Drosophila melanogaster: one gene and its partners. The protein of the gene in region 2 purifies or fractionates together with the protein of the main gene of each other region. This does not show direct contact. Each region holds a gene or a part of one and is shown on either strand. Other genes may lie near its edges.

What was found.
Region 1: the proteins of Rs1 (region 2) and CG2691 purify together in Drosophila melanogaster (affinity purification with mass spectrometry, with the first as the bait; one large-scale study listed by BioGRID). This does not show direct contact.
Region 3: the proteins of Rs1 (region 2) and Noc3 purify together in Drosophila melanogaster (affinity purification with mass spectrometry, with the first as the bait; one large-scale study listed by BioGRID). This does not show direct contact.
Region 4: the proteins of Rs1 (region 2) and Cdc5 purify together in Drosophila melanogaster (affinity purification with mass spectrometry, with the first as the bait; one large-scale study listed by BioGRID). This does not show direct contact.

Annotation. Positions count from the first base shown.
Region 1 is NC_004354.4:13,617,647-13,626,744, forward strand, and holds CG2691 (uncharacterized protein), read right to left. Parts: upstream 6,763-9,098; 5' UTR 6,660-6,762; coding exon 6,518-6,659; intron 6,461-6,517; coding exon 5,901-6,460; intron 5,825-5,900; coding exon 4,914-5,824; intron 4,855-4,913; coding exon 3,973-4,854; intron 3,908-3,972; coding exon 3,773-3,907; intron 3,711-3,772; coding exon 3,278-3,710; intron 3,210-3,277; coding exon 2,947-3,209; intron 2,889-2,946; coding exon 2,698-2,888; intron 2,627-2,697; coding exon 2,092-2,626; intron 2,020-2,091; coding exon 1,917-2,019; 3' UTR 1,630-1,916; downstream 1-1,629. Other genes in the region: Tango2 (transport and golgi organization 2), read left to right, coding at 168-290, 456-756, 951-1,407.
Region 2 is NT_033778.4:8,160,779-8,169,040, reverse strand, and holds Rs1 (Rs1), read right to left. Parts: upstream 5,478-8,262; 5' UTR 5,274-5,477; intron 5,042-5,273; exon of another isoform or gene 4,977-5,041; coding exon of another isoform or gene 4,535-4,976; intron 4,474-4,534; coding exon of another isoform or gene 4,439-4,473; exon of another isoform or gene 4,334-4,438; intron 4,245-4,333; exon of another isoform or gene 4,172-4,244; intron 4,162-4,171; exon of another isoform or gene 4,101-4,161; 5' UTR 4,086-4,100; coding exon 3,993-4,085; intron 3,935-3,992; coding exon 3,110-3,934; intron 3,092-3,109; exon of another isoform or gene 2,993-3,091; intron 2,926-2,992; coding exon 2,193-2,925; intron 2,133-2,192; coding exon 1,589-2,132; intron 1,528-1,588; coding exon 1,374-1,527; 3' UTR 1,272-1,373; downstream 1-1,271. Other genes in the region: gasz, read right to left, coding at 1-851, 915-998; CG30373 (uncharacterized protein), read left to right, coding at 4,439-4,473, 4,535-4,976; RagC-D (Ras-related GTP binding C/D), read left to right, coding at 5,717-5,719, 5,801-6,271, 6,335-6,553, 6,613-6,755, 6,817-7,138; CG8708 (uncharacterized protein), read left to right, coding at 7,966-8,008, 8,112-8,262.
Region 3 is NT_033777.3:7,242,721-7,249,420, forward strand, and holds Noc3 (nucleolar complex protein 3), read right to left. Parts: upstream 4,250-6,700; 5' UTR 4,164-4,249; coding exon 4,155-4,163; intron 4,103-4,154; coding exon 2,490-4,102; intron 2,432-2,489; coding exon 1,808-2,431; intron 1,752-1,807; coding exon 1,529-1,751; 3' UTR 1,512-1,528; downstream 1-1,511. Other genes in the region: CG14607 (uncharacterized protein), read left to right, coding at 6-1,121; CG10053 (uncharacterized protein), read left to right, coding at 4,530-4,576, 4,646-5,399; CG1227 (uncharacterized protein), read right to left, coding at 5,565-5,681, 5,737-5,871, 5,930-6,524, 6,585-6,700.
Region 4 is NT_037436.4:356,697-364,073, forward strand, and holds Cdc5 (cell division cycle 5), read right to left. Parts: upstream 4,688-7,377; 5' UTR 4,433-4,687; coding exon 4,388-4,432; intron 4,319-4,387; coding exon 4,053-4,318; intron 3,994-4,052; coding exon 2,549-3,993; intron 2,490-2,548; coding exon 1,801-2,489; 3' UTR 1,704-1,800; coding exon of another isoform or gene 1,335-1,703; 3' UTR 1,155-1,334; downstream 1-1,154. Other genes in the region: CG1231 (uncharacterized protein), read left to right, coding at 1-763; Roc1b (regulator of cullins 1b), read left to right, coding at 1,335-1,703; CG1233 (uncharacterized protein), read left to right, coding at 4,962-5,003, 5,057-5,645, 5,731-7,377.

The DNA of each region.
Region 1 (9,098 bases), on a different chromosome or scaffold from region 2:
TCAAGATGTTACCTATAGTTTAGTCACTAAGATGATTTGATAGCAGTTTGTTAGAATGAACACCTCTCACAAGATCTGTTTCCCAGCAACCTAATTGGATTTCAAGCCATCTTACCCATGAGTGCGGGATCAACTTGAGTAAATATTTATGTATTCCCCCATTTCAGGGATCGATCTGGAGCCGGGACGCGAGGGCGGCACCTGGCTGGCGATCGGCCACTCCGCTGGCTTCTTTAAGGTGGGCGCCCTGCTCAATCTGACCGGCGAGCCCAAGCCACGCGATGCAGTTGGTAAACCCATTTGAGCTACTTACTAATCCAAATTGACGCGCACACACACGCACACACACTCATCCATACACCTAACACTTGGCCCGAACTAAAACTTTCACAACCGCGACCAAAGAAAAAGCAAAGCAAAAACAAACTTTCTTCGTTTCTGTTTTCTGTTTGAAGCGCACAAAAACATTTTGCAACCGCATAATCACAACAGCAACAGCACCGGCATTAACCTTTGCCCCAAGACCACCACCTCCAACAGCTACCGTCATCCGAATCCGAATCCAATTCAGAACCCGAATACGAATCCGAGTAGGGGGCAATCGAATAACGAACATTTCTTACTAGGGCGCGGCATGATTGTGGCGGACTATGTTACCCGGGCGGACGAGGAGCACAGCATCCTGAACTACAACGAAAGGCTGCTCAAAGATTGCACCAAGTATTCTGCCTTCAACTTTGTGTCCATCGAAATTGGGTGAGTCTGCGCCCATTCAGGTTAACCTGAATTATTATATATTCTAATTATATGCATATTAGTATGTACATATATTGCTTTATGCTGTCTTTATCTCCGAATTATACGTATAAATTCTGAATAATATGCAATAACATTAGGGAACCATTAGCGAAACATTGATACCATCTACTGCACGCCTTCGTTCTCAACAGATCTGCATCCCAGCCCGCTCGCGTGAAGCTGCTGAGCAATGTGCCGCCCACGCTGGAGGATTTCCAGAACGGCGAGTGCTACGGATTTGGCAACAGTCTGCCGCACTCTCCGTTCGAGAAGGTGCGTCATGGCAAACAGGAGTTCGAGGCGATCGTTAAGGCTCATGGGGAAGCCAGCGTGGAGACTCTGTCCGCCCAGCTGATGCAGTTGCTCCGCAACAAGCACAAATTCTGGCCGGACGACGAGCTAAAGACACGTGCGCCCAACTGGGGCGAGGGATTGAGTTCCCTAAACGTCCATATCGAAGAGCATGCCTATGGCAGCCGTACACACTCCGTTGTCCTGGTGGACAGCGAGAATAAGATGCACTTCATTGAGGAGACAATGACTGGATTGGATCCGCACGGCGAATGGAACAAGACCCACATTGAAAAGGATTTTCAAAACGGCGTTTGACCACGGACAGGATGACGCAACTTCTTGACGCAACTATCTCGTTCGAAGACTTTCCTCTTTTGTAGAATAACCTAATTGGCTAATATTCTACCAATCTGTATTTTGACTCTGGCATTTGCGATAATAAATAGTCATATTTACTATATCTTTAAAGAACATAAAGCTTGTGTGGATTTAATCTAACGTTACTGCTCTTCTTTCTGCCACGCATCGAACTATGTTGCTTTCAAAATTCTTTATTCAAAGTCTTTGCAGATCAAAACAAAAAAAAAAAAAAATACATAACTATTCTGTTTCTGTTTTTCTTTATCTGTGGCATTTACAACGTCTCCACATGTTCATATATATATATTAAGTTATATTTATATATTTAAGCAAAGTAACAGGGGAAATAATCATCAACGTCTTAGCTTCCTTATCAACAGACCGCACTATCCCAGTGTTATTATACATCTCTATATCTCTATAGCTTTACGAGCCTGTTAGCCAGTTGGCTTGAATCGTCTGCCCTATTTGTATTTCTTGGACACCCGGCCACCGCCGGCTCCTCCATTTTCAGCGCCAGCTCCTCGCAATACGCTCTTGAATTTTCGCGAATTCATTGAACGTTTTCTGGGGGCGAAAGAGATGGAGTATTAGATAGGGACGGGTATATTAATAATATTAAACATTTTGGATACACACCTCTTGTTCAGGTTATTCCTAGTGAGTGGTATATACGCATATGGATCCAGTTTTCCGCTCTTCTTCATATCACCCTTGGCCTTCTTGCTGCCGTACTCACTGCCCGCTGGGCGGCTGGTGGATTTGCCTGACTTCACGGACATGGCATCCGAGTTTCCAGCTGTCAGCTGTCGATGAATGCCCTTGCCACCGGCAGTGTAGCGACTACTGGCAGTGGTTTTGCCCGATTTCATGCTCATCGCATCATCACCCTTGCGTACACGCTTGGGTACTAGCTTCTGCTGCAGTTTATCTTCGTCGCTCGAATCGTCTTCCATGCCACGCTTAACCTTGGGCTGCTTGGCTACAGTGCCATACGCCATGGATGCATCGGAATCCGAGTCGTCATCGGACTGATCGTTACCGCCCTGGCCACGAAGTGCCTTGTCGCTGATGATCAGGCGTCCATCGTCGGCAGTCTTGAAGCCACCGTTCGGCAGCTGAGCTTTCGTCTTTTGACTCTGGGCAGGGGTGGCCGTTTGAGCGGAGCCACTGGCTGGAGTGGGGCAAAGGCAAAGAAACAAAAAAAGTGATGATTTGTGCGATTTTCAAACGACTTCAACTTACTCAGCACATTGCCAATGGACTTGAGATCGGCCAAATCGACTATCTCATCGGGATCCTCGCGAATGTAAGTGCTCTTCTGTTGCTTAGCATTCTTGCTACGCTTGCTAGCTGCGGCTGCAGCTCCGGCCTCATCCTTAGCGTCCATATCTTCGGGCAGATCCGAATCGGAGTCAGCTAGCATATCATCAATGCTGTGGAAGGGATTTTTTTTAGTTATTTGGGTAATTACTGTGTATGAAAAACGCTTACGTGTAGCTCTTTTCCTGCAGACCGCTGACCAGCTCATCATCGGAGCTATCCTCCTGCGCTTCCAAGTTCTGTTTCTTGCGCAAATCCCTGCGCGTACGCTTGCGGATCATCTTCAGCCGGCGATGGATTACATCGTCATCGCCGGGAACGAAGCCGGCCAGCTCCCCGGGGCTAAAACGAATGCAGAGCTTCTTAAGCAAATAACCGATCTGGATGCGGCAGTATCGCTTCGTATCCTTGGTCATGGCCGACAAGGAACGCATCTAAAGGAGGGGAAAGAACTAATTATTCGGTTCAAGTGCCTAATTTAAATGTCGGCGGATGTGCTCACAATTGCCTCCAGGTGATTGGCCACCAGTGGTATGGGCATCACTTTGATGAATGTAATCAGAAAGGCAATGGCTGCCTCCGCTTGCTTGCGTGACTTCTGGACGAGGAAAACAGAGACCTGCTGCAGGACAAACTCCAGAGTGGCCACTGTCAAGTGCTCACCCTGCTGCTGGAGCACAGCCCTAAAGGCCAAAATTGTGTTCGTCACCAGCATTTCATCGCCGGCAAATCCTGCCGTCAGTATATCAACAAAGTCGTTAATCTTGCCGGCATCGTGATAAAGTTGAGTAATAGATTTGATTAGCTGCTCGGCCACCTGTTCCTTGTAATTGGAGAATTCCTTATAGTTGAGCACTGCCTCCGGAATGGCCTTCATCACAAGTTGATCGTTGTACGCCAGATTGCTGTGGCAGTCTATCAGGGACTTCAGGCAGCTGATGATTGAAAAATAATAGTTTAGCCTACACTTTAGCGATCATTTAGCACTTTAACTTACTGCAAACGCGATGCCTGACAAACGTTGCAGCTGGTGTTAAATGAATCGAGAAGGATTTGCTGCAGGACAATGCTGTTCTTGCGGGTAAACTTCTGGCATGATGGCAGCTCCGAGGTCATCAGTTCGCGAAGTAGTCTATAAATAAGAAGGGCTCATAAGTACACTGCAGTGTGACTATGACTAACAACAAGTGTACATACTCGTAGGTCTTCCTTTGCTGCTTTTTCAGTTTCTGCTCATCTTTGGCGACCAATTTCGATTTATCGTTCCTCAGAATGGGAGCCATGTACTTATCGAAATATGCTTTGATTCCCTTGCATGTTTGCACGCGCACTATGGCAGCATTAATGTCAAAGAAAGCGTCGTATTCGAAACTGGCCAAGGCACTGGCAGCCAATTGCTCTTGGGCGTTCTCAAAGAGCTCCAGTTGGACATCAGCCGGCGCCCGGGAAATATACAAACGAATGACTTCCAGAACACGCTTGCGCTGATCGGCCTCGTAGGTTCCATTCGGTTTCTGCGTATAGATATTGAAGAGGCGAGGCAAAAAGTTCTTGGCATACTGGCCAATTGCCTGATGGCATTCCGCACTTTGGTTGTCACCGAGCAGCTCCATCAGACCATCGTAAATGGGAGGCCTAAATTCCGGGTTCTTTTCCACAGCCGCACCCAAAGTGGGAGCTAGGTACCGCAAGTATTCAGGATCCCTTGGCTGACGACAGAAGCCAGGGAACAAGCCCCACAACTGGCAGCACAATAGCTCGTAAATGTGTGATGAAGAATTGTTCTTCGCCTCGGCGAACTCCTTCCACTTCAGTTGGCAGTCCATGGCCAGTGCTACAATCTTCTCCTTGAAGAACTGCAGGCTGGCACCGTTGGCTCCCTCACGGAGGAGGGGCAGCAGCCAGGATCGCTCAAGCTGCATGACGCCCTTGCCATCGGCAAGCGGTATAGCTGTTAGTACCAATTCGGGTCCCAAAGCCTTGATGGCACTGATCACAGTGTGCTCGATCTGCAGACGATGTGCACTCTGGGTGTCGTAGCGCTTGCAGATTGTCATCAGCGGGGGTGTGAGTTCCGAACTGAAAGCATTATAATATTATTAAGCATTTAAATATTATGGCACACATTGCAGACCAACCCGAATAGCTTTCCACAGGCCTCAAAGACGAACGAGAAGATGAGGATCACGAATCTGGAGATCTCTCCGAATGGAGCGTTTAGCATCTTGTGCAGTGAAGCAATTATCCTGGACACACTTTGCCTGTTGCACTGTGCATCCTCCGCTGTAGCACAAGCGCGCGAAACACAGTCTTGCAGCAGCTCCTTGATACAATTTGAGACACCGGCAACCAGCTCCTTTTGGTCCGAGAGCCAAAGATCCGTGGTGCAGACATCGATCAGACGCGGCAAGGCCTGCATACAAAGATCCAGCTGCATGGTCGCCAAATGGAGGTGGCCCTCCTTTAAGACCGTCACCCAGGCGATCGTCTGCCGGATGTCGCTTTTGTCTGGCCGGTACTCGTGTATCGCTGCCAGCAGTTTGGCGCAGAGTGAGGCATTTAAATTGGGGCTTTTTTTGAGGAAAAGGGAGTACAGTGTCTGGAAACAGTTCGTCCTAACCAGCACATTGGCCGCCGTCATAATGGAAAGCAGATGCTCGCAGACACTGCGTATGTCCTCCGTCTTGAAACCGTATAACGTGTCCTTGAGAAGCTCCAAAGTGTGCAGCACTGTCGTCTGTGCATTGGCCAGTACCTCCGGCTTGAACTGAGCCAAACAGAACTTGGCCACGCGACTGCTAGCCGGATGATGCTTAACCTTTGGCTGCTCAACCGCTTCATCCATTTCATTGTCATCTGATTTGATAGCCGGCAGCATGAAACAGCTGCCGTGAATAATTAAGGCAATTGCATGCTGGGCTGCCTTGCGGATCTTCGGCTGTGAGTGAATGCTGAACGCCAGAATGGCATCAAAGTATTGGAACGTCGAGCTGTATGACCATGCCGCGTAATCCTGGGCGCGCAGAATGACAGAAAGGCAGCCGATTACCTGTAAATGGAAAAACACGAACATCGACGTTAAATACGTATTTAACAGCTTTCTGGTAAACACATTTTGCACTTACATGTCGGATGACCGACTGGTTAGTGGACTCCATAAAGCGCTGGAGCAGTCTCTGCATGGTGTCAGCGGTCTGGGCGAATCGCTTTTTGAGAACCGGAGCCGGCACCGAATTAATGCCCATGGCAAGCAGTGTTACGCCGGCCACAATGTCCCGTTCCTCGGTAGCGGCCTCGATCTGCTCCATGAGCAGCAGGAAATACTCTGTAGACGACTCGCCACCGCCGTTCTCGCGGATTATTTCGGTGAGGGCGCTCAGAATGGCCAGCATCTCCTTGTGAAGAGCGGACGAGGACCGGAAGCTGGTGACCAGTTTCTGGAAGCATGTGTTGCTGCAACCGCTGTAGTTGGAGGCGAAGGTCTGGAAGGTTTTGATGGTGCCGGTGGGGGCGGTGCCGGTGGGAGCGGTGCCGGAACCGGACATTCCGTCATCATCGTCATCCAGTTTGAAACTTCTCAAACTGCCGGCCACATCGTTAACCGTTGTGGTTTCCGCATTAAAGGCCTGACTCTGCTCATGCTTGTGGACCGCCTCCATGGTGAGGCCGGTGGTCGTGGCTGCAGCTGTAAGGAATTTGGTTACAGGTGCTAACATAAGATGGCAAGTAAGGAAGAACTCACCCAAACTTAAATTGGGCTGAAAGAATCGCGATTTGGCCTTCATGCGGTGCTTCATCTGGGTGGGATTGGAGGTGGCCGATTCGCCTCTGCTCCATGTCTTTCCCTTGCCATTGCGCTTTAGCTTCGATCGGAATTTGCCCATGATCCCCCACGCGAGAAATGCTCGAAAGAAACAGAAATACTCAATGCACGCAAATCGCAACACGTGCGAACCAGTGTCCCCGCTCGACCGATAGAACTGACAATCGAAACTGCTATCGAATGGCTGATCAAAACTCGATGACGTACCGTTGTAAATTTCTAATCAAGTTCCCCACTTTGAATTGCAGTCCTGGCTAGTTCTGCTCTGCTACCTACCACAAACTAGTTGTGTGCTTTTGAATAAGCATAAATATCTGTTTCCCAAATATAAAAAATATATTTTTTGATTAAAAGATTTAAAAATACTAGTGGGGGTGTGTTGATTATTTCAAGGTGAATTTCCACCCAAGCTATACACCACACGATATCAAATTAGCTAACACACCAACCTGTTATCGATATTCCCCTTAGGAATGTCGATAACGTACGTGGCCGGTCTGGCAGCTCTGTGCAACAAGTTGAAAAATAGAAGAAGCAAATAGAAACAGCGTCCGCAAATAGTGCGCAAAATAGTGTTTTTTTGTTAACGTGCAACAGTGACATTGTTAAGCCATTGAATGCAAGTGACAGTGGGACCAGAAAAACAATGCAAAACACTTGGCCACGCAACAATAACAATTGAGCAAGGCGCACACACACACACATGTGCAGGCACCCACTCGTGTAAGAGAAAAAAAGAGATAGCGCGAGTGTGTGAGTGAGCGAGAGGCAAGAACTGTAACTGTAATATAATTGATAAAACAAAAAACGTCAGGAGCAGGAATCCAGTGAAAGAGCGGCTGTGGCTGAGGGAAAGAGAGAGAGAGAGAGAGAGAGCGAGTAAGAGGACAGCGAAAAAGAGCTGAAAAAGGAGGAGGAATTGTTGTTGCTAAAAATAGCAACAAATAGACAGGGCACGAAGAAGAAGAAGACGACGGCAAATAAGAGCAAGAAGAAGAAGCGTTGACGCAGGCAAAAGTCGCAGCCTTGTTGGCCACTTGGACTCTTACTTTGTCCCGTTAGCCAGCTAACGCTCTCCCGGCGAGCAACAACAACAACAACAAACATCGATAGCAGCAATAACAATAACGATATCAAGGAATACGAGATCAGCATCATCAACACAAAACAAAACAAAAACAACAACAACAAGTACGACGACGGACCAAAACTATGCTTTTGAAATTCACAAAAACCAGTGGCGCTGGACCCTCGGCCGTACCGCTACTGACCACCGCCCCCGCGACAGTCACCAGTTCGGCGTCCATGCAGGCAACAACAACAAGTTACGCGGCCCGTGGAACAGGTTTGTACCCCACTCTCTATCGCCCCTTACCCCCTCTCCCTCTCCCTGTGCCCTCTAACTCATTGCTTTCCACTTCTCTTTGCTCTCTTTTTGTTTTGATTTGTTAAGTTTAAGGTACGCCAAACAGTATAAATAATACACCTTGCCCACATTGACGTCCGAATTTCAGTAATTGAAATTATGGCTAATCGAGGCTTGGGTCTCAGATTATCACATTTTAATTTAAGTCACTCAAAGTTATATTGAAATAATTAAGATATATATTCAAACCATACTTAGAACTTATCCTAAATGATATTATACATTTCCTACGAATTTTTCGTTCAATTCAATAGTCAGCTTGTTAATATAATCAAACACTTGGTCAAAATGTTCTTATTGTTAACTGTTTCTATTGGGCATTGGAATTTTGCTACGCATTTCTTTCGGCTCTATTAGAACCTGTTTTTGTTTACTTGCAAAAAATGGGTGGTGGTGAACCTTTGTATATATACACATGTATGTACATATGTACATTTGTGTACATAAGATAAGGGCTTAGCTCTTATTTGAACTGAAAAATGTTAATAACAACGAAAATAGTATGACTGATAAATACCACTACTTGTTATCCAGTTAGTTTATGTAGAAGGTGTCGTTCAATAGATCTTTGAGAGAGTTCATTTGTTATTTGTATCTTTCGTACGGTTTGTGGGCACTTGACGCAAATAGATGGCAAACAAAAATAGACCGTCCGAAGGTGTACACATATTTTGGGTAAAAATATTGCTCCCCCACAAATAATTCTTGATTGATTTCCGCCCCTTCTGCCGCCCACGTTTCGTCGCCCACTCTCGATTATACTCTAACGATATCATCAGCCACGTTAAAAGAAAAACACAAACAAAAACAATAAGGAAAATACTATTTGGCCCCCACAAACTTTGCGACATTGAAAGCCACGCACGTGTACCAACACACACGTGCATTTATGCTTACACGCACGCACACAAGCACGCATTATGTGTGTACAATGCTGACACGGGCGACTACAGGGCTTCCTCAATATGTGGCACCAGCTGAGGGTAATTGATACCGACAGACTGGTTCACAGTTGTGTTGAGGAATTGAGCTTTTATTGTTTATTGTTTATTGCGGCTCTATAATTTCCAGTAA
Region 2 (8,262 bases):
ATGGGATACTCGATGCCGATCTCGCGAAGTGACTGCTCATCCATGACGAGGAAATCTGCCAGCGAGATCCTCGCAATGGCAAAGTATTGAACCATGTTGCCAATATTGATGGCCTCCAGTATGCCGTTAAGTTCTTGAAAATATTCCGGGCAATCGCTCTTAAGGAAGATGCGTGGAATGTGATCCCTTAGCGTGTTGTAGCCCAGGAAGTGCGTCGGCACTAGGTAAGTGGAGGCTGGTCGCGGCAGGATCTCCAGCAGGTCGTAGTATCCATGGCACTCCGCCACCTGGGTGGGCGTGTAGCCTTTGTTGTTGGCTATCGTGGCATTCGCGCCCGCCTCCACCAACAGCTTGACCACTTCCACGTGATTTTTCTCGATGGCATGAAAGATGGCAGTGCAGCCCTGATTATCCACAGCATCGAAACTAGCATCCTTAATAAGCAGACGCACAACGCCGGCAAAGCCATTTTGGCAGGCGAACATAAAGGGTGTCATTCCATATTTTTCCGAAACATTGATCACGGCTCCGTGCCGCAAGAGCAGGCCCACAATTCTCTCCGCCAGGCACGGATCCTTGTGGGTGGTATTGCAGGCCATCATCAGCGGCATCAAGGAATCCAGCTGCCGATTCACGTTGGCCCCTGCCCTTTCCAGCAGCCATTCAACTATTTTGTAGTGGCCCTCGCGACAGGCGAGCATCAGTAAGTTAAGACCACCTTTTACTGGCTGATCCACTTGGAGGACGAGTTTGCGCATCTCCTCCTGCATCGTCTTGAGATCCCCAGCGACGACTGCATCGTAGAGCTTTTGCTCGGGATCCACGTAAGGAGCTGGTTTCGAGCGTTTCACCTATACAGAAATTACTCAAGTCACCCAAGGAACACCAGAAGGAACAGAACAAGGAACACATACCTTATCCGAGAAGTAGAATCCATCGTAGCTGCTATCAGAGTCGGAATCTGGGGGCGGTCCGTATTTGCAAAGGTTGCTCATCATACAGGTACTTATATAAACCTAATTTAGCAGTTTAAGCACACAACAATTGTGGCCAAATTCAGGAAAAAGGCGAAAGGAGGAAAATGGCAAACAAAACTAGTGAGGGGAGGCGAGGTTCTGAAAAAGTTTGCACAATCGATTTTTATCGATATCATGGCGCGCTTTTTAAACTAAGCTAAATTAAGATAACCGAAACTAATTTAAGCAATAGTAAATTTGCAGTTATATTAGAAAGTTTAACACTCTGATTATGCAGATTCGCAATTTTGTTTTGAGGTGTCATATGTTTAAAGCAAATTAAAAAAATTAAATGCCTTAAAGAAGAAAAAGTTTTATTTTACAAGTATACGATTTAACATAGCGTAGTTTGCAGCTCTACTTCTTTTTATCCTTCTTGGCGTGACGAGGTCCTCCGAAGTTCTTGCCCTTGTTGAACTTATTCTTTCCCGCCTTGTTTGTCAGCTTCACACTGCTCGCCTTTTTCTTAGCAGCGATCTTGGTCATCTTTTTGTGCCGATTGGCCTCGGACCTGGAAAAGGGTGTACAAAATTAGAACAACTATCAACGAAAAGCGAGAAAGAGCTACTCACCTTAGACGCAGAGCTCCGCCACGACTTACATCGGTCAAGTCGTTAGTAAATGCCGACTGACCGCCGCGTCGCTTGGGTTTGCCGTCGGAGGCACCGCTTCTGTGAACTTCGGTGGCGGCTCCTAGTTTGCCCGGACGTTTGCGCAGCTTGGCCATCTTGGCGCGCACAAGGGACACCTTCTCGATCTCCTTCATGGCTCGCTCTTTGGCCAGCTGCTCCGGTGTCTTCTTTCGAGGCTCCTCCTTCTTCTTCTTGTTGCGCTTTGCCTCGAGATCCTTGACCGGTGGTCCATCCTCGCCATCGCCTCCGTACTCGGGTCGCTTACGCTTTCCGGCCGTTTTTCCCTTACCCTTTCCACCAGATGCTTTATCCTCGTCGCCGGTTGTCAACGCTAAGCGATCCTTCTCCGCCTCGCGTTGCTGTTTCGTCTGGAACCAACCACGTCGCTCGTTGGTCTGTCCCAGCAGCTTTCGCTCCGTTTTGGAGAGCTGTTGCTCCGTTTTGGCTAGCTGCCGTTCAGCCTGCTCTTCGTCCAGAATGTTTTCTACAAAACAATACATTTACATCCGCAAATTAAGAAAATGTTACATTTATATAAACTTACGAATCTCTGGCTCCAAGCTTGTAAGTTTGTTGCGATATTTTTCAATAATCTCTGGCGGAATAATACGATTCTTAATGGTACTCTCCGCATTCTTGATAATGTCCTTAACGATCTTGCGCTCCTTTTCACCGGCCAGGGAAACGGATATACCAGCACGCCCAGCTCGAGCCGTACGACCCACTCGATGGATGTAGTGCTCTGTGGTGATGGGCATCACAAAGTTGATTACCGTTTTTACGCCCACAATATCGAGACCACGAGCAGCTACATCTGTGGCGATAAGCACATCAATCTGCTCCTCCTTGAACTTCTTGAGGGACTCCAGACGCTGTTGCTGGGTGAGATTGCCATGCAGTTCGCCGGCCCGGACGCCCAAGAGACCCAATAAAATGTGCAGTCGATGGGCCTGCTTTTTGGTTTGCACAAATACCATGCAATGATCATGGAACGTCCTGCAAATCAAACTAGCCAGAATGGGTTCACGGTCGCCCTCCTTATCCTCACGTATGCGAATAAATTCCTGACGCAGATTGAAGGCCACTTGCTGGTTGTTGTTGACGAACACCTTGATGGGCTTGTCCAGCGATACGGCGGCCAGATCTTTGACCTGCTCGCTCATTGTGGCGGAGAACAACATGGTCTGACGTGTCTTACAGCAGGAGTTGATGATCTCCTTCATCTGTTCGGCGAAGTACTCGTCCAGCATACGATCGGCCTCGTCCAGAATGAGAACCTGTTCGGGATATCAAAAGATATTTAAGTTATTCAGGTAAAGTAAACGTAGGAAACACAATGCCTGTGGAATCAGCTTGCATCTGCCGCGCAGAAGCAAGAACCAGGTTATCCTCTTAGCTCCGCAAAGAGCTCAGAGCGCAAGGATGGAGAATCATCAACTTAAATTCACCTCGATTTCTTACCTCAATGGAATCCAATGTAAAACTGGGCGTATTTTTAATGTGATCGATTAGACGACCTGGCGTTGCAATGACAATGTCGGGATTCTGGCGAAGTACTGCCTCCTGAGCCTTCACATCCAGACCACCAATTGCCAGACCCACATCAATAGTGGTGAACTGGCACAATTGCTTTGTCACCTGGTAAACCTGGGCGCCCAGCTCACGAGTGGGCACAAGAACCAGTACCCTGGTGATGGCCTTGTTGTTAAGAGGACGATACAGCAAACGTTCTAGAGTAGGCAACATATAAGCAGCAGTTTTGCCCGTTCCCGTGGCAGCACAGCCGCAGATATCGCGACCTAGCAAAGCCACAGGAATCGTAGAGGCCTGGATCGGCGTAGGATATATGTACCCCAGCACACCGATGGCACGCATCAGGGGACGTGAAAGGTTCATTTGGTAGAAGGAAGTGATCTGCTCGTTCGCCTCTACAGTGTCGGCGAACTGCATCTTCTCGCCCTCGTCCTCTTCATCCTCCTCTCCAGCCTTCTTCTTCTTTTTTTTGGATTCCTTCTTCTCCCTTAGCCGCAGGTTGTCATGCTTCAATTCGTCCTCGGAGAGATCTATCTCACTTCCATCGCTCTGCTCCGCGGCCACAGCTTCGGCGCCACCCCGCTTTTGCAGCCGGGCGGCGATCTTGTCGTCGGTCTTTGTGCGCGCCTTTCGCTTCACGTACTTCATCAGGTCGTCCCAAGTGTCCTGGTTGTACTCCTTCACTGAGGACACGAACTCGAAGCCCTTCTCAAACTCCGTCACCTTCTTGTGTCTCAGTTTTGTGGGTTGGTACTGCGGAGGCACTCGGAACTCAGTTTTGCTATCGTTTTTAAAAGTGTGAGCAACCTACCTCGACCTCCGCATCGGAGTCCTCCGACAAGTTCTCCACCTCGGCATCGTCTTCGATGGTGCCTATCAAGTCCAGGTTCTTGGTTGCACCCATTTTTGAAGCAAAGAACTATTCAAAACTCCACCAGCGCGTGTTTACAATTTAAAACACACGTGTGGCGTGTTAGAGATGGGCGAACCGGTGGTCAAATCATCGTTTGCAAGCGTGGGTGGAATTTGTGGAAATATTAGTTTGTTGCTCTTTTAATGTTAAGTAATTTCAAATAACCATAAACATAAGTTTACTAAGTAAAATCAACATATTATTTTCATCATAATTGATATTTTACTTTGTTTTTCAAGCCATCAATACATCACGAAATTGCGTGCCGGCGATAGCTCTCATCTCTAAATCGTCAGCTGTTTAACCAATTTTGTTATGAAATTTGCTTGAGTTTCCCATCGAAAATGCTGCGTTTGCTTACAAAAACAAGGGTGCTGCGGTGAGTTATTATAATGATACAATACCTAGTCAGCAGTAGTAACAATAGGCTCTCTTCGTAGCCAACTGATGCCAGCGACAGGCGCCACTCCACCTGCATCCCGCTTCTATGCGAAGAACCAAGGAGCAGCCAGCCAAAAATCGGATGACGACATGGTCAGCGATGAGCCCATCAAGTTTTTCGGCAGCCAGGCGGCCACTTGGCGCGCCAAGGACACCCGCAGTGGTGGCAGCGACGAGACCCTTTGGTACCAACCCTACGTAATCTCCGCCAGCCTGGCCATCTTCCTCCTGTACTTCTGTGCGCTGCGCGAGGAGAGCGACATCGATCTCCGGTTGGAGGGCAACTTGTACGAGCATGTCAGTGGTCTGGAGGAGGTGCAGCTGACTGTCAACTACAGGTACAACAAGGAACACGGACTGGACACCAAGGAGCAGGAGAGACGGCTCAGGGAACTGGGCGTTGATCTGGGCCAGTTGGATGCCAAGTTGGCCGCCCAGTAGTCGTAGGGTTGGTTTGTTGTACGTTTTTGTTTCGTTAAGTGAAATTAAACATTTTTAATAACTAGAAGATGTATGTTTCTACCAGGGTAAATTATTTATTAATCTTTTTTAATGGCTTGGTGATATTTGCAATCAATTTTTGGTTGTTTTTGTTTGTTTAACTGAAATTGAATATTATATTGGCTTCCTTGTTTAAATAACCCTTCATTTAAAGTAATTTAATGTAAAAATATAATATGAGATTTCTTAAATAGGATCGGCTAAAAATAATCATCAAAGTTATAGCTTTAGTCTTACAAATGCAAATCATTTTCCTTTGTATACCCCGATCACATAGATTAATATATTATATACTTGAGTACGGCATGTGCCCGCCTATTTTCTTTTTATCACGCGGCGCAGAAGCTGAAAAGGATTATAAACTATAGTATAAAAGTATAAGACTTAAAAATTTTTTATGAATTCGCGCCAATTTTTTTTACGTGGTCGGAGTGTGACCATACGGCAGCATCCTTGGTAATCGCGCCAGCTGATTGCTATCGATAGGAACAGCTGAGTTCGGTTAGCAGGTGTGCACACACTGTGTTTGCGATAAGAAACGCGCAGGAAAAGCAGAAAAAGGTAAACTGATCGTGACCGCTATAGCCATTGCCTGTGCGTTTCATGCACACATCCGTTGACCTACGGCCGGCCCCACCCCCAAAACCAGAATCCAGTGGAAGGCGGTAGACTCCGACAGCATGGTGAGTAGACAAAGAAGCCATATCGCCATTGGCCCCCGCCCATCGCAACCGACTGATTTGCACCCAATCACGCCCTTTCAGAGCTACGATGATGATGACTATCCGGCGGACACGTTCCCCAAGGACTTTGGCTACCGGGCCTACAACCAGGATGGCCTGGAACTGGAGCCCAATGCAACGGGCAGCAGCGAGACAAAGCCGCGCATTCTGCTGATGGGAATGCGCAGATCCGGCAAGAGCTCCATCCAAAAAGTGGTCTTCCACAAGATGTCGCCGAACGAGACGCTCTTCCTGGAGTCGACCAGTAAGATCGTGAAGGACGACATCAACAACTCCAGCTTTGTGCAGTTCCAGATCTGGGACTTCCCCGGCCAGATTGACTTCTTCGAGCCGACCTTTGATTCTGACATGATCTTTGGAGGCTGTGGAGCCCTGGTCTTTGTCATCGATGCCAAGGATGACTACAACGAGGCGCTGACCAAGTTCAAGAACACAGTGCTGCAGGCCTACAAAGTGAACAAGCGCATCAAGTTCGAGGTGTTTATACACAAGGTAATATCCATGAGTTGGGCGCTTATCGTGTTGATAACCCAGCGACACATGCTCTTTTCCCAGGTGGATGGAATTAGCGACGACTCGAAAATGGAATCGCAGCGGGACATACACCAGCGGTCGTCGGATGACCTTAACGAGGCTGGCCTCGATCAGATCCACCTGAGTTTCCATCTGACCTCCATATACGACCACTCCATCTTCGAGGCCTTCTCCAAGGTGGTGCAGAAGCTGATTCCCCAGCTTCCGACGCTGGAGAATCTGCTGAACATTTTTATACCAGTACACGAAACTTGCATTGTTGTTTTTGAACTACGCAGTTAATTCCTTATCCATTGCAGAACTCCGGAATAGAAAAAGCCTTTCTGTTCGATGTGGTTTCCAAAATTTACATAGCCACGGACTCGTCACCAGTCGATATGCAGACGTATGAGCTCTGCTGCGATATGATTGACGTGGTCATTGATCTGTCCAGCATATACAGGCAAGCTAACTAATTTCGATGTATTTGCTGCTTTGCCTAAATAACCATTGCTTTACCGCAGCTCCGAAGAAACCGCCTTTGACAGCGGGAGCTCTAGTCTCATCAAGTTAAACAACAACACGATACTCTACCTGCGGGAGGTGAACAAGTTCCTGGCCCTGGTCTGCATCCTGCGCGAGGAGAACTTCAACCGGCAGGGCGTCATCGACTACAATTTCATCTGTTTCCGCGACGCCATCAGCGAGGTATTCGAGCTGCGGCTAAAGCGCCAGAAGCAGCTGGAGAACAACGACCAGGACGACGATGATCTGGTCGATGAGCAGACCCTGATTCGCCATGGCCACGACGCAGGTGGAATTTCGCGAGCGCAGCCAATTAATTAGGCGCACTGCATCCCCAAGCGGAGAGCCCCTTTTATTGCCCCCCTACGCTAGCTTCTCTGTGGACTCTTTGATTCCAATTTGTACGTTCTCTTCCGTTAAATCTGATGTTACCTTTGTCTATTGATACGTTAGGACGCCACTCTCACAGAGCAGCGTAAAAAATTGCCCAGCGGTTGAAATTATTGATAATACTACCAATAAACATGTCTATTTTTAAATACGAGTGTGCTCTTGCCTAATTTATTTCCTTAATTTTTGTTACGTTACAGCGCACCAGTATAAAATAGCAAACAAAGATGTTAGGGATCACTTTTTGTAAGTGCTATACTCTATGATAGTTCATTGTTTTTAGATACTTTTGAAACTCTAAGAAAAGATAATTAGTTTTAATCTTTTGAGAAAGCAGCTATTCACAGGACGAAAGCCATGATCTAAAATCTCTCCGCTGAGTAAAGCAAACTATTTTGATGAGCGAAACAATATATTGTCTCGGTAAATATATAAGAAAGAAACTATCTTGGAAACTTCATACTTGCTTCCTACACAACATTCCTAACCCGCTAGAGTACATAGACCCATCTCTTTCTCCTTACATCGGCTACTCCACATGTTATGTTTGATCAACTGTTTTCAGGAACTGTAGCTTCAGACCAGGCCAAGATTATGGTGCTCAGTCGCTTGGCAATCCCATTAGGGTTCAGTTGCGGGTGAAAATAGAGTCTTTGACGTACGTGCAAGACAATAATTGGACACATAACCCACTTCTTGTTTGCACAAGTGAACCATTCTGTGTTCCCAGTTGAAAGGGAAACCCCAATAAGTGCAGAATGACGAGTGCAAGTCTATTGTCGCGTTCCCTGCTAACAGAAGGTGCATAATCCTCACATATATCATACCAAAGACCCTAGAATATTCTAGTGTCTTTGATCATACCAACTATCTATGAGCTACCTAATCCACTGACCAATTGCAGCTCCGCGTTCTAAGAATCGCTCGGTGTTTACCTTGATTGCTGGTTTGGTGGTCGGCTACTGCCTGGCTCAAATCTTCTCCAGCATTGCGCCGCACGAGAGTCTCTATCCGTATCTCAGCAGACGGTTCAGCGATTCCCAGGTGGCCACCGG
Region 3 (6,700 bases), on a different chromosome or scaffold from region 2:
TATAGGCTCAAAGTGGATACAACTATGGGCGTCCCGAGGTAGCCAATGTAGGAGGAGCCACAGCTGGTGGTCGCTTGACACCTGCACCATATCCAACAGCACCAGCCCTGCCACTTACTCCCGCTCCGGCTCCTACTGCATATGGAGCAGGCTTGTTTCCCTCACCCGCTGTTGGATTTACGCCAAGTGGACAGGCTACCACTGCTTTTGGAGCACCCGCCATTGTAGGAGCCACAAACCCCGTTAACCCACCGAGAAGAACTTCATCTGGCGGATTATCTACCCCATCATCTCGCAGTGGACCCTATGGACCGCAGGCTTCGCAGTATGGAGGTACTCCCGGTGGATCTCCAATCCGAGTTGCTAGTGGAACGGGAGACAGCGGGGACTACAACGATTCCGATGGAGACTACTCGGCCATTCCGGGTGTTCCTGGAGTGGATTATCCTATTTATGCCCAGGTGCCGCGCACCAACTTTGACTGTGCGCAACAGCCCCTACCCGGCTATTATGCGGACATAGAGGCCCAATGCCAGGTGTTCCATATCTGTGCCCTCAACCGGACCTACTCCTTCCTGTGTCCCAATGGCACAGTCTTCAGCCAGGAGACATTAGTCTGTGTGTGGTGGAACCAGTACGACTGCGTTTCGGCGCCCAGCTTATATGCGAACAATGCCTATATCTATGATTACTCCGAGAGAAGTGGCTCCAATCTGAGAACATCGAATACCAACAACGTCTACCGTCCGGCCGCTTCTTCCTCGGCTGCCTTCGGGGCACCTCTGGCCACGACTGGAACACTTCGAGCCACCGGAGTGTCTCAGGTTGCTGGATATAACTCCGGCCGGGGGTCCTATCCTTCAGCCACGCCCACCCCAACCGCTCAGCCCCAAAGCCCGTATGGCGCTGGGGCTGTCCTTCGTCCCGCCATTGTCCCGAGCACTGGAGCCAATCGATTACCGCCATCGGGAGCTGCTGTCGGGCTTCTGGCCACTGCCGCCGGAGCTCTTCCCGAGAGTTCAGTGGCTGGATTCGGGCAACAGCAGTCGGGCGGGAATAGAGAGTATCTGCCACCAGCTAGCGTTGGACAACAGCGACAACGAGGAGGCACCAATGCATAGGTAGCGAATGAAAAATTCTGGCGAACCCCTGGGACTTGTACCCGGTTATATGACACTACTCTTAGTGACTCTAGACTTAGCCTCTATATAGAATGTTAGGAGCTCCAAACATAATAACTTGTAAAAATCCCATTAATTGAAATATATTACAGAGAAGTTCTAAGCAAATGAATGGTTTCATGTTTTAAAACCAACTCGCACCTTTCTGATTTAACAACAAATTTGTTCGATTATTATCTGGCTAATCAAATCCTGGTATCACACTTGGTATTCTCTTCCTTTAACTGAGAACGTATTTGGAAGAATGTTTAATATTGGGAAACAAGTTGGGTATTGTTTAAAAATTGCATTTCTTTCCACACTATTCCGCAGTCATTATAACTCTACTTCAATCTTCAAATTTTTCTTTATTGAAGTGCACTGAAAAAATCAATTTGTAAGGTTTGTTTATCCTTCGTCTGTGAAACTTTTCCTTGCTGCAGCAGTTTTCCGTACTCCTGTTTGAAGTCCGAGCGAATATATAAGTGTTTGCCCCTTTTTAGTTTTGGTTGACCCGCTTTTGGCAGCGGTATTGTCGGATTGAAAGCCATCTGAGTGCTGTCGAATTGCGTAAACAGCTCGTGGGAGGTACTAAGGAAAGTAATAATTGTTAGAGTCACATATGTAGTTGCCGTCTTATTACATACAGTTTGCCAATTTCCGTGGGCAAAGCTCCCTCGCCCGTTGCTGGCACTCCATGAGCAATGTGAACGGCCATCCGTCGCACCGTGGGATGATAGTGACGTGCCAGAAGCGCAAGCTCATACAGCGCTGTGCTTGCTGCGTTACAGTACTCAGGATCGTCCAGTTCGGGATCGTAACGACCAGAGCCTATCGTAGTGTCTGTATCCAATAGGTTGTCAAGCACAGAAGTGAGCTGGAAGGTTTGTTTTATTGTGCCAAGCGTGGCCAGGGTGCCATTATGGAGCAGATGCAGACTTCCAGTAAGCAAGCGTTTCATGAAGGCCATTAGACGCTGCTGGCTCATATTGCGACGACGCTTTACGAGCACCTCATCCAAAGTTCGCAAAATAATGGCGAAGTCATCGTGATTTTTGCCTGCCTGCACCGCCAGCATATTTCGGTAAAAGTGCTGGTAGAATCGGATGGGGTCGATGTTTAGCACCTCACCCTGGCCGGAAAGGATAACGAATATGGTCTGAACACAGTGCAATCGCTCCCGGTAGCCCAGCTCGTCTTGGTCCTCTAGAATGCGGTTGAGCACATCGATTAGATCGGAGAAGAAGTCCAAATTAATGACGTGCGCAAACCTAAAAATCATCCTCTATATTTAAAATTCCAGGAAAGAGATTTACAATAACCACTCACTCTGCCAATCCTTCTAGAATAGCGCTCAGCACGCGGGAGGTGGGATCGTTCTTAAGCACGCGGAAGTAAATGGTAAACACCATCTTTATGATCTCGGTGAGCTTCTGATGCTTTGCTTGCTTGTTTTCCTCGGCACGGGTTTCCTCTAGTTCTCTGTTAACCTCGGTGAGCTTCTTACGTCTTTTGCGCTCTTTCTTGGACAAGCTTAGTAAGCGTTGACGATGCGACTCAAGCTTCTTTTGCTTTAGCTCATTCTCCTTTTCGGCATCTAGGTTTACGTTCTTGATTTTAAGGCCCATCAGACAGGTGATGCACTCCACATGAACATTGTTCTGCTTCGTTTTGATCAAGTGATTGATGCGTCGCACTATAAAAAGAGTCATTTCTAACCGTTTGTCGTTGGAAAAGACTGTGCGGAAGCACTGATGGACCGCCGTTCGCATCTCTGCATAATTGCAATTCAGCATATACACCAGAAGCTGGGCAATGTTTTGAACGTAGTTAAAGTATGGATGTGCCACAAGCAAGTCACACATGCACTGTACTGCCACGGTGGCCAACTTCACAGTCTGAGGCGTCCTTAGACCACCTCTCCTGTTAACTTGCGCTGTGATCTGTTCCAGTTTCTGCAGGAACTTTTTAAACTGTTGAAGCAAGGCGTTTTCAAAGGTTACACGATCAAGAGTGGCCTTGCGAAGCGTCTGCATCTTGGTGTCGACCTGACCCACTCGATACTCGGGCAAGATATCTTTGAATATCTCGGTGACAGAGATTATGGCCAGCTTTCTGACGGCCATTAGGTTGGCCTGTCGACTGGCTGGGTTGATTTCGTCCATGAGTTCGTACAGAGCATGAAAGTTGCGCATCTTATCCTCTGGCTTTTCGAGCAGCCCGGAACAAATGATTCCAATGCGATACTTCTGGCGTTCGATCTCCTGCTGCCGGGCAATAAGTAGATCCGTGGTAGAGATAAGTTTTTGGACGGGAGCGGCGGTGGCGGCCTCGACATCATTGACCACATCGTCATCGCTGTCCTCATACTCCGTATCACCGTCTTCCTCGGAATCATCCTCCTCTTCTTCTTCATTCTTCTTTTTCTGCTTGGGCTTAGGTATGTAATCCACCTCTGTCGTACGGGTGATAATCTGACCATCCCTGGACTTGATTGGCAGCAAATCCAACTTTATTTTTTGCGCGTCCTGCTCTTTTTTCGTGTCAGAGGCATAGGCCCTTTCCAAGCCGATGGATTGTCCTTGGTCAGGATCATTCTCGCCGGTCGTCTTGGCCTTTCGCTTGCGTTTGTTAGCCTGGAGCAGGGCAAGATCATCGCCATCCAGCATGTCCGCAACGTTTTCAAGCATCTCATCGTCGCCATCCTCGTTGTCTTCCTCGAGCGGATCCAAGCCCAGGGAGGCCAATTTGTTGTGCTTTTTACGCTGTGCTAAGTTGTCCCGCTTTCTCGCCTTTTGGGAGAATATATTCTGACCCTGTTCGCGCTTCGATTTCAGTTGGTCGCGCTTTTGCTTCTGTTTTTGTTGCTGCTGCTTAGAAAGCGGTGTTTTTTTCGACTTCAGGTGAGCAGCCCGCTTGACCGAGCTGATTTTGACCTTTTTCTACAATGATTTGGATTAGAATAAGCATTAAATAATTTTACTTTCCACTTACAGTTCCCATTGCACCCGTTTTAGTCAACTAATAGTTAATTTTCACAAATGTTGCCTTCTGAATGGGACGAGCACATGGAACGCCAACGGAACTGTCCACTCGTCAGCGGAGCGCAACAGCTGCTCAGAAGCGGATAGTATTTTGTTTAGTATCTTACATGCGCTTACTTAAAATACTTTGTTTTTGAAGAAATAAGTAAATGACACAAACTGGCTGTTTTTTTTATCACTAAACAGAACCAATACTATAAAATACAATTTTCGGAACTCAATCTTCATAGCAGAGATATCATTGTTATTATAAATTATCGAAATAATGCTGTAGATAACTATGCAATGGTCACACTTAAGTGAGAAGTGTAAACAAAACAAACAGATGTCTGACGAGGAGGAGGATTATATGTCCGACAAATTCCTGGTTGGGTGAGATTACACTCACACCTAACTAACAACCAACCACCTTATGAAAAACTCTCATCCTTCCCTCATTAGTCTGCAAGATGTCCGACCGAGTTTGGTGCACAATCGCGGCAGAAAGCGGCAGATTGAAGTCGAGTCCAAGAAAGATGAGCTGAAGAAGCGCCAACGGGAGACAGCAGCTTCTTCCGGGAACGTAGACAATGTTCGCCTTCAACAGTCCCTCAACAAACCAATTTCCGCCGACAACAAAGGATTCCAGCTACTGGCCAAGATGGGCTACAAAGCCGGTTCTGGGTTGGGCATAACTTCGGATGCTCGTACTGAACCCGTGGGGATAACTATAAAGAGCGGTCGTGGAGGACTTGGGCGCGAGGCAGCCGTTGCAGAGTTGGCCCTCAAGCGGCAGAAGTTGCGGAGGGCACATCTCCTAAACAAGGCCGGCATTAAAAGCGACGAGGAAGTCAGTACAGAGGCTTATAGGAGGCGCGCGACCCATAAAGCGGAGGAGCGAAAATTACAGTATGACATAAAACGGTGCCAGCAGACCTGCGAATCGTTGGATCTTAAGTCCGCTATCACAGAACCAGATCTCGATTTCTTTTGGCCACCTAAACCAAAAGATGAAGATGAATCACAGAGCGACGCCGACGATCCTGAAGTCGAGGTGCCACCTAAGCAAGAACCATACAGTCCCTCGGAGCAATTAGAACTCCTCACTGGCTACCTGCGCACAGCCTATTGCTTCTGCTATTGGTGTGGGACCCATTACGATGACGCCGAAGATCTGGGCTCCAACTGTCCAGGACTCACTCGTGACGAACACTAGCTCCAATCAATAAAATAAAATAAAAAAACTAGCTTGATTGCTTACACATAATTTCATAAAATCAGCAGGTTTAAAATATTTTACAATAAGTAGTCAAAAAACAGTAAGCGGTGTATCTGGTTTGGAGGAATGTCTATAAATGAGTTGTAATCCAGTTAGTGGGAGCTACAAGCGACCCTCCAGTTTCTGTATCAGATCGTGGGTCCTTTCGATAACACTAAACACGAATGGCCGTTCCATTGGATCTGTTCGCAGCATGTACTTAATTAATTCGTGCATGTCCTAGACAAATATTTGGAATTAGTTTCCTTTACAATATAAAAAAAAGGTTTATTACCTCTGTGTAAATTGAATCCTCTGGAATGTTTATGTTCCCACTGAGCACAGCCAAAGCCACGCTGTCACCTCGCTCGTAGATGGGATCGTAGGGTGAATTAAAGTAGCACATTGCATAGAGCACACAGCCAAGACTCTGAAAGAGGGAAATGTTAAGGAAGAACTTCAATAACGCTCTCTTGGATCTGCTTTACCCATATGTCAGTGCGCTCGTCAATTGTGCAATATGTTTTCACGGTAAATAACTCTGGAGCCCGGTAGACAATGGAGCTCCTCTCCTCGGCTTCGTCCTGCAAGCGCTGAGCATCCGTCTGGCCCACAATCTGCAGTCGGGCTTCTGTCATTGACCCGAGATCCACAATAATTGGCTCAAAAGAGTCCGACAGGCAGATGTTGGCCGTTTTTAGATCTCGGTGGGCCAGAGGCACCGGCATTGCCTCGTGGATGGCCTTCAATCCCTCGCAGACGCCCAGAAAGATTTGCAGGATCTGGGCCTCGGGCATGTGGTCCTGTTTCCGCGATCGCAGCTGAAGGTGGTCCGCAAGAGATCCGTGCTTGTAATAGGGAAGCACAATGAACAAGGTGCTCGTTGTGTTTATAACTATGTCCGCCTGGCCCTTCAGCTCGTAATCCACTACCCGGATCACGTTTTCCGAGTCAATTTTTCGACAGTTTTCGATTTCTCGCAGAGCTATATTCTGATCATCGATGCTGTGGCAGGTGATGCGCTTTATCGCATAGCTACGTCGCGTGGAGGCGTTTTCCCCAAGGTCGATTAGACTGAAGCCCCTGTTTAAACACTCAGATTAGATATATCAGAGGAGATAGTGGGAAAAATGTGGTACAAACCCCGTCGCCAGCCTTTCGCGGATTGTGTATCGAGATCCGTTTATGTTCAGGGTCTCCTTGCGGCAACTAAAGAGGCAGCCGCGTTTCATGATCAGCGTCCATCCTATACTCTGCAT
Region 4 (7,377 bases), on a different chromosome or scaffold from region 2:
GGAGGAGTTGAACAGGCTTATTGGACCACTGAACTGTCAGCTGTGTAAGGTGCAGATGACCTCGAGGAAGCGCGCCCGGGATCACTACGAATCGAAGGCCCACGACCGACACATCAGCGCCTGGCTGGCCAAGAACTACACGGAGGTGGGTCTGGAGGCGCCTCCAGTGAAGCGGCTGGCCAAGCAAGGACCAACCGGCCCAAACGCCTTTCACTGCGAGCTGTGCAATCTGGACCTTACCTCCTCTATGCACGCCCGCCAGCACTATTTAGGTCGGAAGCACAAGCGTGTGGAGCAGGGCGTCGCGAAGCCCTCCGGAGCCAGGCACTGTGATACATCTGTTGGTCGTTACGGCATAGGGAGTCTGTTCCGCAAGCCGGAAAGTTTAACCAAAGATTCCCCTACGGACGTATTAATATCAGAGAACAGCGTGATCAAGTCTGACGATAATGAGCGCACCTGCCACCTGTGTAAAATAGTGGTCACCTCTGCTGCACAAATGCAGGCCCACTTGGCTGGAGCCAGGCACCAAAAGAACTGGAGGACCTCCCGGCAGGATCAGAATCATTCGGAGGCGCCGATCCCTGAAACGGAGAAATTAGATGCCGCGGAACTGGCCTTGTATCGCACTCCAATGGGTCAGTACTACTGCCAGCCCTGCAACATGATGATGAACCATGAGAGCACCTTGCAACAGCACTTTATTGGCAAGAAGCACCTGAAGAGGGTAAAAAACCTTTCCCAAACTGAGAAGAACGTGTAAAGAATTTATTTGATATACCCTAAGCCTAAGCCATGACTTCCCGTTAGCAGTAAAGCTTCCTTAATAATAATGACATTCGAGTTTGGGAAACAGCTATTTTGTTTAAGAAAGGCATTATAAAAACCGTAATTTGTTATCATACCCATTACTCATAGAGGGGTATATTAAACTCGTTAAAAGGAATACAAATTTCTATCGATATGCCAAGATAATTTTGAAATTTCTCTCTCAAACTCACTCCCACTATCTGGTATCTGATAGTCGAGAAATTCGACTATAACATTCTTTCTTGTTTAAAAAAATTGTCTAAATTTAGGGATTCAAAAGTGGTTTACCGATGATAAGCTTTCTTGAGCCCCACTTAATATGATCACAAGGTTTAATTTCTTTTCTGCATTTATTTTTAAAATTATTCGCCGTTGTTATTTCGTAGATAAATCGGTAGTGGTCAACTTTTTTTTATTAACTGTCAGGCCAAAAACAAATGGAATTTAAAATAGTTCAAATCAAATTCGAATACGAAAATAAGTGTTGTATTTTGAAAAAGAAAAAAAATTCGTAATTTCACACCATGGCCGAGGAGATAGAGGTTGAGGAGACGGAGGACTTCCACGACATGGACTTCAATGACGAAGAGCCATCCTGTAGTGGAGGAGCTGTCCAGGCCAGGACGGAGCGCTTTGTGGTGAAGAAATGGGTTGCGCACGCCATGTGGGGATGGGACGTAGCAGTGGACAACTGTGCCATCTGCCGTAACCACATCATGAACCTGTGCATCGAGTGCCAGGCGGACCCGAATGCAAACCAAGACGAGTGCACTGTGGCTTGGGGCGAGTGCAACCACGCATTCCATTACCACTGCATCGCGCGCTGGTTGAAAACGCGCCTGGTCTGTCCGCTGGACAACAAGGAGTGGGTCTACCAGAAGTACGGCCGCTAGCGAGGAATATGGATCGGGATATTAGGTGGTGATAGCTGTTTGCTGGCATGTAATTACTGTAATTAAATAAGAACGGACTTGGGTTCCAAAAGAAGGTTTACGCTTCCTGGTCGGGCAGGAGTTGCTGGGCCGTGGGCCTGACGCCAGTTATATGTTCGATTTGAGAGTAAAGCGAATCGCGCTCCTCCACTAAGCTAGCGTACTTTTGCTGCAGCTCCTTCTCGCGGTCCATCTGGCGACGCACGTCCTCTTGCAGCGATTCCAGGCGTCGCGGCACAGCGATGGCCTCCTGTTCGCCCAAAAAGCGGAATGTCGAGAGTGAGACAGAGTTCTGCTCAATCTGGCCGTACGTGTCCTGAAGCTGCTTAATCAGCACCTGGGCGCGCGCCTGGTAGCCGCCGGTGAGAATCTTCAGCTTCTTCTCGATCTTGCCGCAGCGCTTGGCTTCCTTGGCCATGTGGCGGCGATTTGTCTCCAGCCGTTTCTCGGCAGACTCTAATCGATCCTTCTTGCTGGCCAAATTGGCGCGTGTGTAGCGATGTTGGGAGGGTAGGTAAAGAACCTGGCCGAGGCACTCCTGCCACACCTGGGCATAAACGTCTAGGGGCAGTTCGCCATGCGCCATGCGCTCCTTCACCACCTCCATTTCCTCGGTGAGCATTTGCTTGGCCTTCGCCAACTCTTGCTGCGAGATGTCCTCGTAGGGATTGGCCTTAAAGTAGCTTTGTAGCTGTTCCAACTTGTGCTGCGATTGACCAGGCACGGGATCCTTGACCGAGTCGTACACTGCCAAGAAAAAGGACGTTAGTTACTTGGGTTAAAATGGAAACGTTGGGTTTACTCACGCTGCATGGTGATCATTTCGTGTTTAATCAGCTCTTCGGCCTGCTGCTGTTCCGTAAGGTTCTGTTTCTCGGACTGCGGTCGCAGAATCTTGGTGTTCACTTCAGTTGGTCGCGGGAGACTACGCTGAATAACCTGGGAGCGCTTCTCTAGCTCTCGCTTTCGGCGCGCCTCTTGTTCAGCCAATAACCTGGCGTCGACATCCGCCTGATCCTCGACGGCGGGTTCTGAGTTGGTCTCAATGCGTTCGCTTTCCTCCTGCTCAGGCACCACGATCTCATAGTCATTCCGTGGAGCGGGCAGCGTGGAGAGACCGTCACGCAGTGTAGACTTTAGTTGCTTTTGGTAGTTTTTGTAATGTGCTGGGGTCTCGGTGACGCCCATACTCTCCTCAGGATTGATGCTTAGCTTGTCCCTCACGTAGGCAGGTGTATTGACGACACCCGTAGCCCCTCCTGCCCCCTTTACGGGAACTAGGGCTCCGGAGGAGGGCGTTTGGAATCCGCCGGGAGTGGCTGCTCCGCCCTCGCGTTGGGTTCTAAACGGCGTGGCAATCACTGTGTTAGGCGTGGCGATGGAGGCCGCCTTGGGCAGCACGCCGGAGAAGTCTGACTCGTGCAGCGGTGTGTTCAGGCCACCTTTGAGTGGCGTCTCTGTGTGGGTGAGGGCCATCATGTTTTGGGCCTCCTGCATGATGCGATCGGTGTACGGAGCCGGAGTACGTGGAGTGGCTGCTACCTGGGGTGTAATGGAGTAGTCGGCTAGCAAAGCATCCGTCGTCTCTATGCCGCTCTCACCGGCAATTTCCTTTGCCATCTCACTGGCGCGTCCCAGCTTGACTACCTGCTGTAGTTCCATGTCGGAAATCTGCGGCGTAGGCAGGACTAGTTTGGAGCGCTTCCGCTCGGGCTCCATGTTTTGCAGCATTGCGGTGGGCACTTCATTCTCTTTGCGCTGCTTCAGCTTCTGCTTGTCCCGCTTGCGTTCGCGTTCCTCCTTCTCTGAGCGGAGTTCTCCATCTAGGTCCTGCTGCCGCATCTTGTTGAAGTCGGGTTCATTTTTCTGCAAGTGTTCCTCGGAAGTGTCGTAGAATCCGTGGGCAGGTCGCTTTTCGAAGGGAATCTCGGCGTTGTAGTCTATTCCCTTGATCCGCTTGCGATTTCCGCTGCCAATTCCGGCGGCACGAAGTTCGCGCCGCTTTTGGAGAGTGGCCAGGCGGCGGGCTTCCTCCAGTTGCTTTTCGCGAGCCTTGCGCTTGGCTTTCTTGCCTTGCGTGTTGGCCAAGCGGGCGCGTGCCTCGGACAGCATTTCCAGCTCGTCCTCGTCCATGTCCTTGGGATCGGGCCGCGCCGGCTTGGTCTCTGGATTGGGGTCAATCTCTCCGGGCTTCAACTTGCGAGGATCATCCATCGTGTCCTCGCCATCCTCTTTGCGTTGGGCTTGGTCTCTGTACGGCAGGAAAGGGATCAGAAATTTTCTACTTAGTATGTTGTGCGTTGGACTCACAGCAAGTACTCATAGCGCTCCAGGCACTGGGCTGCCGTCCGTCCGATGATCGGGGCTATGGTGCGCCACTGCGTCGGCATCAGCTTGGCCAAGTGGAGCAGTTTCTCGTCCTCCTCACGGGACCACTCGGTCTTCTTGATGCTGGGATCCAGCCACTCGTACCACCTGGCCTTGCACTGCTTGGCGGACTTTCTGTGCAGGAGGGAGGCAATTCGACTCCACTGGTTCTTGCCATATTTCATAACCGCAGCTTTGAGGATTTCATCCTGGGAAAATGAAATCGGTAGCCAATGTAAGCCATGTGTGGTTAACCGATAGACTATTGGGATAATTACCTCCGTGTTGCGCCACACGCCGCCCTTGATCATTATTCGCGGCATTCTGGGGCCTTATGTTGCTTTCTGTCGCGTATACAATGGATTTTCACAATTTTCACTCGAGTCCACGAAACTCCGCTCTTTTTTTTGCAGTAGCCGCTAGCGATGGTTAGTCTTCGATAACAGCGATATCTCCAGCACGTTTTGGTATATTTATAGAACCTCTAGTTAAACTATTCTAGCTTAGTACAAAAAAATTTCATTATATTGTATTTAGTCTTCGTATACCGTTTGATTTAACTTCGGTCTTAATATTGGTAACTTAAATTATTCAATTTAATAAAGGGCCTATACACACGACATAACATAACGCGACAGTGTGACCGAATATAGTTGTGCAAACACCGCTGCCACACTGTGTACAGCAACAGCTGTTCGCTATCAGTTATTTTGTGATGAAAAGTTTTTTTTCTGCGTAATGCCAATTTTTGTGATGCGGAATTAAGAGGCGTGTGCCCAGGAAGCGGAAAACCGGCAACCGGCAACCGGAATCCGGCACCGGGAATCAACTGGACCAAGGAAGGCACCCACGATGAGCGATGCGACCTATCCGGGATATTACGGCGGCAACCAGGTGAGCAACCAGCGAGTACCTCTGGCCAGAAAAACACGCCGTGTGTCTTCCAGCTGCTCCCGTTGTCGCATCCGCATCCTACACATCCGCACCAAGACCTGTCGCTTTCCACGCCGGTTCACTCCTTGGAGCAGGACTCCAACTTCGGGGGATTCTTTGACGAAGAGCTGGTCATCGGATCGGGATCCGGATCTGCCTCCGCGTCTGCTGCAAACACCACCCCTTCTGGAACTACTTTGTGGCTGGCCGATGGCGGGAATCGATCACCTACTGAGGTGGCGGTGGAGTCCCAGCCCAATCAGGGCATTCCCTTTGTCCAGATCCACACCACCGACTTGCAGCAACCAGAGAAAAGCTACCGCAATGCCTTCCGCAGGCGTACAGCGGAAATTAAGTCGGAGGAACTAATCAAGTCGGAACTTGCGGAAGCGGCAGCCAAGGATCGCCTGAATGCCACGCCAACGCCACCAACTCGAAATTCCAGCTGCGCCAGCGTGGAGGGCAAGGCAATCATTCAGGAGGGTCCGCCTCTTATCCTGCGCTGTCCTAATTGTCCATTCTTAAGCCTCTGCCAGATGCGTCTTCAGCAACACCTTAGTCAGGGCAACTGCTATATGGAGCAGCACAGGAAACAGTGTCCAGGTGAGGCATAGTGCGCCTTCAATATGAGTGCTCTGCTGGAATGCTTCATCATATTTGCATTCACTTTTCACGTGTTTTTCGACAGGCTGCTCAAACATTTTCTACACCAGCGATGCGCTCAGCTTGCACCTCAGCTTGGACCATCAAATGGAGGACAGTGAGACACTTGCGCTTATGGGCAGAAAAGTCACTGAAGCACAAACTAAAAAGCAGACTCAGATGTCGCAGAGCCAAAATCGACCCAAGAGCCGCATCTTTATAAAAAGCGTAGATTGCCTAAGGGAGCCACTCCCGGATTTCCCGCCCTTAATGCCGGATAGCGGGTCCGCCGCTAACATTCTTGATCTGCTGGAAGGTGTGGCTGTAGGTGCATCGCCGACCGAACAGACAATGCCAACAGCACCTGCTGCGAATTTACCAGCTCCGCCGCCAAAGCCCATCCAGAAGATCTCCATCAAGAGCGTGGACGTGCTCAGGGAGACCGCTTTGCTGCCGTTCGACTTCCAGCTGCAGAACCATTCGGTCAATACGGACAATAGTCTCCCTGAAGTTCCTGATGTTGTCGGGGAGCCGGAGAAGCCGCGCCAGCCGAAGATTTATATCCGCAATGTAGACATCCTCAAGGAACCGATGGTTTTGCCATCTGCTCTGCCCGGTCTGGGATTCAATAGCACCATGCCGTCGGCAGCAGAGCCAGGACAAAGTGGCCTGGTTGTAGGAGGAGCAGATGGTGATGTCTTCCAGTCGGAGACACTACTAACGCCCACGTGTCAGCTTCCAGGATTCGAGCCCAGCCTCGCCCCGCTCGCACAGATGTGTTCCGAGGCATTTCCCTTTGATTCTGTGCTGAATGGCAATGGAGCACCTGCCGCCCATGTGGAAAACACACGTTTTAGTGCTTTGGACCTTGATTTTGGTGTGGATTTTGTTTCGGAAGAGGCAACTCCGCCACCTCCTCTGAATGATCCACTGACAATGATGGAACCACAACCTGTCCAGCTGGAGCACTACATGCCACCTACGGCTCCCATTACGACCAAGCAAAAGATCTTCATCAAAAACGTGGACATTTTGAAAGCACCGCAGAGGGGCACCTTGCACCTGCGCACTGTGGACGAACTAAACCTAATGAATCGCACCGAGGTGGAGCACTTAATCGTGCCCAATCTAGAACCGATGGCAATGACCATGATGGAGCTTCCGCCCGTGCAGCAGCAGCCAATGGAAGTAACTTCACAGCTCAAGGGACCAACGGAAACGCTTGGCGAATTTCAGCCGTCTATTAGTGAAAGTTGGCCTAGCGAGGATGGCTATGACCTACCTGAGGATCTGGAGTGCTGGCCGTGGATGGAAGATGCTGTACCAGAAGCTGGACTCGTTCTGCCTACACCCAGTGAAGTGGCTAATGCTCCCCCACTCGATGGTTTGTCTCACAATGCAGTGGATCTGCTAGTCAAGGATTTTTCGCATTTGTACGCCGCACCACCGGAGGACACACAAAACGCAGAAGAAGGAACTGCAGCGGGAGGACGAGGGACAGTGCCACCTCTAGTACCGGTAACATCTTCGGAAGGGACAGCCTCTGTTGCTCAAAGTGCAGCCTTAGGTAGTTTGCCGGTTCCGCCGCTGGTTCCCTTGGCAGCCGAGATGAATGCTGCTATCGAAAAGCCAGCCCGCATCTATGTGGCCAATAATCTTCTTCCCGCCGCCGTGGACCCACCGCTTCTTGGAG